3 linked regions of the Drosophila melanogaster genome follow. The protein of the gene in region 3 interacts with the protein of the main gene of each other region in a pairwise test. Each region holds a gene or a part of one and is shown on either strand. Other genes may lie near its edges. The genes, in order: CG11134, mus101 and CG30089.

Region 1 (3,753 bases), on a different chromosome or scaffold from region 3:
ACGAAAACCTTTTGCATATCAGATATAGCTTTTATTTATATCGTTTATGCGATATTTCTTTCATTAAGCTGAATTGAAATTCTGATATTTGATGATATCAGAATGAAAAAGTAAATAACTGTATCGATATCATTTGGTTTTCACCGCTTGTTAGCCCACTGTTACAGGTGTGGAGTTTAGACTTTAACATTAACATGAAACGCCTAACATGAAGCCGTAACAGCGGTTATCAGCTGTTGTCCACGATTTAGTGCAAAGTGCGCACCCAGTTTGAAATGCCCATAAAACGGCGATAAGGCTTGAAGACTCTTCAGATTATTTCGACAAAATATGTCACCTAACGAGCCCATTGAGAAAATATTTTTAACCCCCCAAATGCCATATATCGTGATTCGATTCATAAAACGCAAGCATTATTCAGTACTATTATTTTGCATTGACCAATGGATTTCAGTTAGTAAATGCATCAATTTATAGGGTTAAACGACAAGTAGAATGTGCGTTCGTATCAGCTTCACTTCCTTATGAGCTCTCGAACTTTTCCGGATCGATTCCGGCCTTCTTCATTTCCACGGCAATGGAGAAGAGATAGTCATAGCATTCCGACCTGGTTGTAAAAAGAGAGATAAACGATTAGGTCTATAAAAGTGCTCGGTGTCTGAGAATAAGTGAGGCAACCCACATGGTTTTGGCCTTCTCCCAGTTCTGTCCCCAAACGTAGACGCCGTGTCGTCGAACCAGGATCGCACTGCAGCCCGGATACTCCATCATGGCGGCGTACATACTGTCGGCCAGGTCGCGTTCAAAGGGTGTGTTCTCGATGATCGGTACGACGAGCTCCTCGTCGTAGCGCAAATATCGCTTGTCCGCCTCATCGTAGACGCCCTTGATCATCTCCAAGTGGGTGCAGCGGAAGGTTTTCCCTGGCCACAGGAGCGTGGCCATTACGGCGTGCTGCGAATGGGTGTGGATGACGGCTCCCGCCTGCCGATGCTGATAGGCCAGCATAAAGAGCGGCGTACATTGGCTCTTCTTCAGGCCCTTGATCTCAGGCGGCAGTTGCAGATCCTTGCCGGTTATATCCTGCACGAAGAGATCCTCCGGCTGCATTCGCTCCTTCTGGACGCCCGACGGTGCTATGTAGATCTCATCGCTGAAACGGATTAACCGGCTTATATGGCTGTCTGGATAGATGTATAGTATCACTTGTACTCACTTGTACTTAATGCTCATGCCACCTCCTGTGCCGGTCACCCATCCCAAATGATAGAATTGCCTGCATAGCGAGGGAATCAAGTGGCGAGGATGCTCCGCCGGCAAGTCTTTGAAGATCGAGAGGGCCATCTCGCTGACAATGTGACTTTCGTGGGACGTAATCTTCGTCGCCGTGCGACACTGATAACGGGAGATAAAGGGATTCTGAAAGCGACAAATCACGAATGTAAACAATGCTGCCGTCGATAGACGATTGCAATCGGTGTATCGCTGTTAACACACAGCGTTGCCGTTACGATAAACATTGTCCAATTAGAAATGGTTTTTTGAAAATTGAATAATGTGCAATAGTTCATTAAGAGAACAAGATATTATTATCACCGTATTACCTCAAAAATGTTTCATAGCGCTGTTGAAAACGTTTTTTACAAGTATAAATATAATAAGCTTGCTACATTTGAACTTTTTTCAATTTTCTTGAGTAGTCCTATTCTGTAAGTCTTATTATAAACTTTTTTGTTTTTATGTGGCTCACCTTTGGAATTATATTGTTTATTAAACATCTTTTCAGGCCCTTCGTACAATGAAGTCCGAAATCGGCAAGGCGTCACACCGCCTCAACCTTTTCACTTCCGAGATCATGCACTTTATCCACCAAATGCAGTACTATGTGCTATTTGAGGTCATCGAGTGCAACTGGGTGGAGCTACAGAAGAAGATGCAGAAGGCTACTACGTTGGACGAAATCCTGGAAGCTCACGAGAAGTTTCTGCAAACGATTTTGGTGGGCTGTTTTGTCAGCAACAAAGCGAGTGTGGAGCATTCGCTGGAGGTGGTGTACGAGAACATTATCGAATTGGAGAAGTGGCAGTCGAGCTTTTACAAGGACTGCTTTAAGGAGCTAAATGCCCGCAAGGAACTGTCCAAAATTGTGGAGAAATCGGAAAAGAAGGGTGTCTACGGACTGACCAACAAGATGATCCTGCAGCGCGACCAGGAGGCGAAGATATTTGCCGAAAAGATGGACATCGCCTGCCGCGGCTTAGAAGTCATAGCAACCGATTACGAAAAGGCTGTCAGCACTTTCCTAATGTCTCTCAACTCTAGCGACGATCCGAATTTGCAGCTCTTTGGCACTCGGCTGGACTTCAACGAGTACTACAAGAAGAGGGACACCAATTTGAGCAAACCCCTGACCTTCGAGCACATGCGCATGAGCAATGTGTTCGCCGTGAACAGTCGCTTCGTGATATGTACGCCGTCCACTCAGGAATAGCGACCAATGTCCATGCAATCGGTTTATCCCAGTGTCCATACATCATACCAAATCCCAAATCCCATACAGCATCAGCACTCCATTCAGTTCAATTGCTGCTAAATATTTGAGATATCTCGATATCATTGGAGCCAATCCAACCAAACAAACTAATCCAATTATTAACTAAGCCTTCGAATCGAAAACAACCTCTATACATATATATCTCAAGCTTTGCCGTCAATCGCCTGGCTGCAAGCCATCAACTTAAGATATCTCCAATACAAAATTATTGAGTAGTTGTAACGAAAGTATTAAGCGACAATTTGTTTGTCGAAAAACGCAACGTTCTATTTTGTTTGCGAATCCCATAATTTTTTTTACATCGAAGCTTAGTTGAAATAGATTTTCGTAAGTGCATTTGCCAATTGCCATGTTGTAATTAAAGAGAATAAGAGAATGTTACGTACTTTAAAAGAATGTTTTAAAAAAGTTAATGTTTTGAACAGTTTTAAACCGTAATGCGAGCTCGAAATAAACGCAACTTGCATTGAAAGTTTCCGTCTCTATTTAATTATTATAAATTACAAAAATTTGGGTTATAAGAGTGTAATAGTTATTTATTCAATTATTGTAAATGCGTATAAAAAGAAAGCCGAAATATTCAGTTATTTATATTATTTCCTTCTCACTCTCACTCAAACTTTCTGATCTCAAAACGGTTTTGTAATCGAATGCGCAGCGAGTTATCGACAGTCCACGAAGCGGTTAACATTTCACCGCTAGCGAGTGCAGCCACCTACTATTCAGCGTAGCCAACCACCAACGTGCAGCAAACATCGATAGTATCGATTAAACACAAATTTGCGTACCACCTCTAGTTTGCGAGCGTATTAAAGTTAAAAAAAAAACGAAAACAAATCGGAAAAAGACGGAAGTGAGTGCTTTGTGCTGCCGCCGGTGATGTGCTGAAATCGCTTCGCCAAAATAGCCCAATTTCCCAATCGAGACACCGATTGCAAATCAAAGTAACGCCACGGAGTGCAGCAAAAAGAAAAACAAAAACAACAGCAACTGCAAACATGGCACTGAAAAAAGTGAAGGGTAACTTTTTCGAGCGTATGTTTGATAAAAACCTCACCGATTTGGTGCGCGGCATTAGGAACAACAAGGATAATGAGGTAAGCGTGCAGCCCCGCCTCCACCGCCCACCAAAACAGCTGTCCTCCAACTGCCACGCCCCCCCCAAGCGGCCCAGCTGTGCGTCCAATTAGAACTCGCTA
Region 2 (3,753 bases), on a different chromosome or scaffold from region 3:
TGAGATCCGGCAATTGCAAACCCTCAGCGGGTGGTTTTGGATTGGCTACCGAGACTCGCTGGCGTATATCCATTTGGGTGGAACTTGCCGCTGGTTGAAGGAGACTAACATCTGCCGGTGGCAGTTGTGCCACTGCTCCTTGATCCTGTGAGTACTGATCCAGCAGCGTATGATCCGGCTCCTCGTGCTCCTGTTCCTGCACGGGATCCGGTTCCTGATCGAAAAGCTTCTTCTTGATGGGCAATGTTGGCTGCTTGAAGCTGTGGTTCATGGAGCGCAGTGTTCGCTTGCTGGCAGGAGAGGCAACGTCTGGTTCTCGATTCTGTGGCATCGACACACGATGCACCAACTCACTGACCACGCGACCAGCTCGAATGCTCTCCAGCAGCCAATCTAGGCGCACCACATGAACTGAACCCATGAGACCATCGCGCTGCCACTGTCGGTATTCGGCGTCATCCAGTTGGCCCACAATGATGTGTGAGATGCCCTCATTGGCCTCATCGTAGCGGGTCGCTCCGCCCGTATTCAGCACTCTGTTTAGCTTCTCACGCTCCTCTGAGCGGAAGCCACTCAAATACACACAGCAGCCATCCAGAAAGGCGCCCGCTTTTTTCGCCTGACGCGGTTCAATCTCGGCCAGCACCTGCTGGTAGTTGCGGCCACTGCTAGTCGCCTGCTTGAGCAGCTGCTTGGCGGGCGAACTGCTGCCCACACTGCTGACGGATTCGTTGACGGTACTAAGATCGCTGCACATGCGACGCGAGCCGGAGACGAAGCTGATACGTGAGAGATCCGAGAGGTGCGTTTGATCTGCACCGGGAGCTGCGCCCGGACGAGTGGTCTTGGTGGGTGTGGACGACGTCTTGCCAGGCCGCACCTCATAGTCCTTTGTGGGCAGAGCGTAGCCGCGATTGCAGCTATCGAAGATCCATTCCGGCAGCAAGACATCCTTCTTGTAGCGTATGGCTGCCTTATACTTCTCGGTGTCCGTTTTTGTTTGCTCGGTGATGACGATGTCCACCACCTGGGAGCGAAAGGCACGATGATAGATGCCTCCATTATCGTTGACCAGCCGCATAACTTGATCCTTGCGCGCCACATCCAATCCACTGCACGTGATATTCGCACCAAAGAAAATGGGCAGGCGATACTTATCGAAATCAGGATCCGTGGCCATGATGCCCTCGCGCTGGCTGCGACGACTCTGATCCCAGACGTACTGCACCCAGTCGACGTGCATTACGGGTACTCCGTTCAGCGTTGCCTGCTCGTACTTGCTGGACTTGATGGTGTTCGAAATGAGGTGGGTGGTGCGATGCCCGAAGCTTTGAAAGTATATGCCGCCCATCCAGTTTATGAGCCTGCTCAATTCCTCTTTCTTCTGTGGTGTTATGCCCGTGGCCGAGACCTGCAGATCCCGCATGGCCGTGCTGTAGATGGCACTGCTGCCCTCGGGAATGGGTTCATTGCGCCGCAGGCAGGTGATGAGGCACGGTGGCCCCAGAATTAGTGCTCGCGTCTGCTGCAATTGCTCGAAGAATTCGCCCTCGAACTGGGTCAGCACAAAGACGTCCTTCTTGGTAAGGTTACCGGCTGCGATCAGGGGATATCCTTCGCTTGGCTTTATTTGCCGGATCTGCGTTTCCGCCAACTGTTGGCCCAGTAGCTCCCGCGCCGCCTCGAATTGCTGCAGTGTGTCGGCCTCCTGGACGCCACCGTCGCCCGGCTTCAGATTGTTCACGAAGTACGCGCAGATGGTCTCGTCCATGCTCATGCTTATGCTCATGATGGCGGTTGCGAGTGTGTTCTCTGCTCCGTGATGCGCTGCAAAATTGCCGTGATTTTCGCACTGCACTTTTTTTCGCGTACGCTATTTTGGCGCCGTTTGTTATTGCCTTCAAACCGTTGGCAACGCTGGCTTGTGATTAGTTGGCAACTACGAGTTGAGCTATGTGGCAACGCCGACGGCGAATTAAAAAATAATGTGTATGGGTAATTTTAATTATTTATCTCTAAGATGTAAGGATTTTTTATTTACTTTTTATCAAATAAATAAAATATTTCGAAAATAAGCAGTTATTTATCAGTTTTGGTTTAAGCTATCGATATATTTCATTAAGCGAAATATCGATATCCACGTCGTCGACGGCAGCTCAGCCCTAAAAGAAAGGAAGAAAGAAGAAAGGAAAGGCAAATCAGAAATAATCAAGACATTGACCAACTTGTACTATTGCTAGTTTTGTGGACACAGGATCCAACACTTGAAGGCGACCACAGCTTTCGCACACTCACACACACACAGCGGCCATTTTCCGCCGAACAAGTGAAATGCCAACATGCCATTGTATGTGTGGTGGTGACCAACTGAAATAGAATAATAAACTAAACCAAAGCGAAGAGAAAACGTAGGCCAAGAGCTATATTGGATCTGTGTCACAGTTTTCCATAGCACCAACCTATCAAATGGGCAACTTTGTGAGCAGACAGAACGCGGCGGTGGAGGAGGCCGATCCGAGCACGAACAATGCCTACAAGTATCCACCGAGAATGGGTAACTTCTTTGGCACCCACTTCATCATGGGCGGCGAGCGCTTCGACACGCCCCAACCGGAATCGTACTTGTTTGGCGAGAATGCGGATCTCAATTTCCTGGGCAATCGACCCACAGCCTTTCCGTATCCCCCGCCGCAGGCCAATGAACCGACGAAGACCCTGAAGAGTCTGGTCAACATTCGCAAGGAGTCGGTGCGTTTCGTCAAGACGATGAACGACAAGAAGCTGGGCGGTGTACTCGAGAAGCCCAAGATGAAGGAGATTGATCGGGACTTGGATCTGGACAAGGAGAAGTCCAACGTGACCATCGAGGATGTGGATGGAAATGTGCTCTGCTCGATGGGTTTGGGTGGCGGTGATGCCGATATGACGCCCCCACCGCCGCCCTGCTCTTACAACATCGAGTTTACCTTTGACTCGGACGCCAAGTGCGCCATTACCATTTACTATTTCTGCTCGGAGGATGTCAGTCCCAGCGGCGTGACACTGGTGCCGCGCGAGGGTCTCACCTCGGAGACGTACCACTACGAGAAGGGCATCAATCAGTGCTTCTCGCAGCCGAGCCATGTCTTCAATCCGCAGCAGATGCCCGAGGATGAACTGGGCTATAGTCCCGGCCGTGAACAGTATCCCGTGGCCATTCACTGTGTGGTGGAGGAGGGCAGCGACGAGTGTCGGCAATCGCACACCACCATCTGTGTGATCGATCATCATCCGGAAAACGGCAGCTATGTGCTGCGTGCATTGAAGCAAAAGATCTTTGTGGATGGCTTGTGCTACCTGCTACAGGAGATCTATGGCATCGAGAACAAGGCCGTGAACAAAACGTCTCTGGACGAGGAGATCGACGATCATGGCAGCGAGTGTGTTATTTGCATGAGTGAGACGAGGGATACGCTCATCCTGCCCTGCCGCCATCTCTGTTTGTGCAATTCATGCGCGGATTCGCTGCGCTATCAGGCCAACAATTGTCCCATTTGTCGCGCTCCGTTTCGGGCGTTGCTTCAGATCCGTGCTGTCCAGAAGGGAATTAGCACGCATGTACTGCACCAGAACACGCCCACATCGGCGGCCGGGGAGCCGGCGCCAGTGGATGTTCCGCCAGGCTATATTCCAGTCTCACTAATTGAGGCACTCAACGGACCGCCACAGTATGTGGCCAGGGCTAGGTGAGTTATGGAATGGAATTAACCGATA
Region 3 (3,753 bases):
TTTTATGGCCCGTGGCTGTTTGGTTTTCGCTACGCCTTCGCCGCCACTTCCTTGCGAATCCATCCAATTCGATTCGATTGATTCCTTCGTCTCAGCTTTACGTACTTTGACACACTTCCAAGGCTCCGTGATGCCTGTGCCCCCAGGGACTTACATTTCCGCTTAACTATTGTTGGCGGGGCAGGAGTTCTTAGGGATCGAGCGGAGGGGATGGTGGCAAAGGAAAGGGAAAGCGGAGAGTATACTCCTCAAATTGAATTTGAAGCCGGGTTCCCTTCTCTGTTATTTGCACACGAGCCGATATTCCACTTCTTGTGCCTTCCCATTTTTAATTTAATTCGGCATTCGGCGCCTTTTGCTTTGGCACTTAAAAAGTTTTTCCCAGTGCCCGAAAGTAGGCAACGCATCCCGACCCGTATTCGATATAGGAAAAAATCGTGTCAGTTAATGCACTGTGGGAAAAATAGTATTTAAGGAAATAAAAGTAAACTTTAAAAGTGGCCTTAATACTTTTATTTTATATGATGAAAGTTTACATTAATAAAGAGCACTAACACATATAGATTGGTTTACTTAATAGTTCAGAAAACACAGTATTACGTATTTCAAATCGTTGTATGTTTCAATCATTTTAAAATTGCATTGACACAAAACCAGCAGACAGGTTGCTCAAAACAAACTAAATTTAGTAAAATATTATTTCATGCTTTAATTTAATTTTGCTTTTAATTCTGTACTATTTTTTCTCACTGCTCTGGCATCGAAATGCGCAAACGAATGCGATCGAGTTGCTAAATCACTTAAGCCATTCAAGTTTCGTTTCGATTTTGAAGCGAGGCAAGGAACAGAGAAATTGTGATAGAGAGATTACTTTTGTAGTTGGGAGATTTGTTAGGGAAAGCTGGAGTATCAGTGCTGCGGATTGACTTCTGAGGCATGCCCCAATAATCCGCACTGAAGAGATGAATTCCCAAGGCCCGTGCACTGCATAATTAAGTGCGGTATTCAATTTAAGTTTTTCCTACTTCTCCTAGGGCTTCAATTAACGAACTAAAAACAAGCTGCTAACTTGGTCAAAACAAAGAAGGGCTGCAGCGAAAGGTGCTCTCCACTTACCATGCAGTTCGCCTGCCCTTCGGATCCTACCGTTGTGAGGGGCAAATACAAAACAGGACCTTAAAGCTGCTTTGACTGGCGGCTGCTCTTCAAAGTTTCAAGGCTCTGGCCAAGTTTTTTTTTGTCCACCTCGAGTCCTTTGCGAATGTCAGGGGCGGCGGCGACGGGGGCGTTGTGATGCGCTTAATTATGCTAAAAGCAGGCAGCAACTTTGCCAGCTACAGAAATGAATATTTACACCTGCCCGGATGCAAATGTGCCGCCAATGTCAAAGCCATTCAGTGTCGTAGTGCCAGAGGTAAACAAAACTCCGATATGTATCTTTTGGCACTATTCAATGCTAGTGATTTTATTTAGTTAACGTGTTTCACAAATCACTTTCGAGTCCAAAGTTTTTGGGCTGCTCGTAAACTCTTTTAATGTTCTCAAACACTTTTAGAAGCCGCAGCTATTTCTCACTTCTTACGACTTTTGGGAATTGTCCCGTTGAAGACCGGAAAAACACTGCACAGGCTTTTGCGACGGAAAACGCGAACGAACTGACTGGCTGGGAAACTGAACAATGGCTTTTCAATGCTAACTTGGCTCGGGCTTGGAAAACTCAACACGCGCTCTCTGCCATTTTTTGGTGAGTCTGCGCACGCTTTTCCGCGCTCTGTTAATCTGCACGTGCATTTCACTTCCAGGAAAATCGTCCCGCATCCGCTACCAACCGAAATGTGTGTGGAAAATGTTTGTTTACATTTGGCAGAAAGCAGCTGGAGAAGGAGGCGGAAGGACTTGTGGGAATCGGGCCCCAATTGGATGTTGCCTACTTTTGGGCCCGTGAAATATGACTTCTGCAATCGAAGTGGAGATGCAATTGCATTTGGCCTAAAGGCCTGCAACCAGCTGTTCCGGAAGCGTTAGTTAGGCTAGTAAGCCGGGCTAAAACCGATTGCCGACACAGCTTTGACACAGCCTCCATCCATCTAATGAACAGCCGCCTTTCGCCGGCTGCTGATGGACAAAGTTTTTTAATTATCATTAATGAACTCGCAGGGCGCAATCATTGGCCAAGTTGTGCTTTGCAATTATTTTAATGTTCAATGAGGTTGCTGCAGCAGTCATCGCCAATGATTTATTACCGCCCCCTTAGCTTTTCCGAAGGCCATGGCCGTCGGAGTCCAGAGTCCATAGTCCAGAGTCCAAAGTCCGAAGCCCAAAGTGTGTGTGAGTTGCCGGCATTGGCAATTAGATAGCTGAAGGGAGGGGAGGTAGCGGGAAGGTCCATGAAACAGCGTTTATGTTTAATGCGTTATAATGGCCGTTGTAAGTGTACATAAGTTGATATAAAAGTTTTATGGCCCAGGCGTGAGCAGCCTCCGGGATCCGATATGGAAAAAGGAAAATGCGGGACGGCAAAACCGAAGGGGCAGGGAAACGGGCTGGATAGTAAAACCACAATGGAGCACAGCGAAAACAAACAAATCGATGAGTTATTCCCAAAGTTAAGGCAATTGAAATTTAGATTTAATTTCACTCTCGACACTCTGGTCAGAAAATAAATTATTGACTTTCCAATTGAATTATTGCCACTGCCGGCTAAAGCTACAAATTTATGATTTTTGTTATGTCTCTTTTTGGCTGGAAAACCCCAAAGATGGGCTTTTTTGAGGTTCTCGATCGGGATCAAGCTGGAACATAAATAATTTAGCCCAGACCTTTTATTGAATTACTCTGATATTGCCAGCCATAAATTATGTATATTCAACAATTTTCCATAATTTATGCGTGCTTCAAAACAATTTAACCCCCCGCCCGCCACATGAAACACATCGATGGAAATAATTTCAATAGAAAGACCTAAGCGTATGCGGCGGCCAAACAAACACGCACGAATGCCTCCCCAAAACACGCACACAACCACACACACGCACTTTCAACCGCCCACGCACACAGCCACACGCGTACGTGTGCTTAGACAGATATCCGTATCTATAACTGCCTCACAATTGCATCGCACTTGCCACGGAAAGACCGATAAAAGAATAAACAAGGAATTTGGGGTAAAAGCGTCCATAAAACACACTTTCAGTTAACTTATTTATTATATATATTTTAATGAAAACAACGTGCAACATACAAACTTTAAAGAAGGGAAATTTTCTTACATCTCCCATATGACTTGATTAAATCATCATGGAACTTTAATCAGCATATGCAGCAAACAAAAATGTTTTAAATATAAGATCAAATAGGTTTCTTAGCAAAGGAAAGGAATATATTGTAGATGGGTGTTACCCCTTCATAGGGCAGTGCCCTTAACCACTTCCATTTCGCTTTTACAACCCTGCCCTTGCAAGTGAGCCGAAGGACCCAGACCCCATTTATGACATATGCGCAGGTCGAAGGGCAGTGGTGGGGGAGTAGGGCCTGCAGCCGGCAGACGCATCGCCAGGACAACTCCAATCCCCTTTCGCCGATCCAACCCCAATATCCCCGCCCCCCTTTTCAGCCACCAGAGGCAGTGGCAAAAAATCTTCGGTTTAAGCGATTTCGCCTGCTTGGGGCAAGAAGTTTTTCCTTTTGATGCCGCTGTCGCTGGCGTTGCATGGAAAATGGCTGTATATGAATCGGAATCCGCAGATCCACACT

Evidence for each region.
Region 1: the proteins of CG30089 (region 3) and CG11134 interact in a two-hybrid assay, tested with the Drosophila melanogaster proteins (one large-scale study listed by BioGRID).
Region 2: the proteins of CG30089 (region 3) and mus101 interact in a two-hybrid assay, tested with the Drosophila melanogaster proteins (one large-scale study listed by BioGRID).

The regions. Positions count from the first base shown.
Region 1 is NC_004354.4:13,735,840-13,739,592, reverse strand, and holds CG11134 (uncharacterized protein), read right to left. Parts: upstream 1,652-3,753; 5' UTR 1,605-1,651; intron 1,455-1,604; exon of another isoform or gene 1,420-1,454; 5' UTR 1,345-1,419; coding exon 1,217-1,344; intron 1,154-1,216; coding exon 683-1,153; intron 608-682; coding exon 523-607; 3' UTR 416-522; downstream 1-415. Other genes in the region: Grip91 (Gamma-tubulin ring protein 91), read left to right, coding at 1,787-2,491; g (garnet), read left to right, coding at 3,553-3,651. UniProt on the Drosophila melanogaster protein: Catalyzes the dehydration of methylthioribulose-1-phosphate (MTRu-1-P) into 2,3-diketo-5-methylthiopentyl-1-phosphate (DK-MTP-1-P).
Region 2 is NC_004354.4:13,720,390-13,724,142, reverse strand, and holds the start of mus101 (mutagen-sensitive 101), read right to left. Parts: upstream 1,898-3,753; 5' UTR 1,790-1,897; coding exon 1-1,789. Other genes in the region: Mrgn1 (mahogunin ring finger 1), read left to right, coding at 2,467-3,725.
Region 3 is NT_033778.4:15,725,290-15,729,042, reverse strand, and holds the start of CG30089 (uncharacterized protein), read right to left. Parts: upstream 1,663-3,753; 5' UTR 1,117-1,662; intron 1-1,116.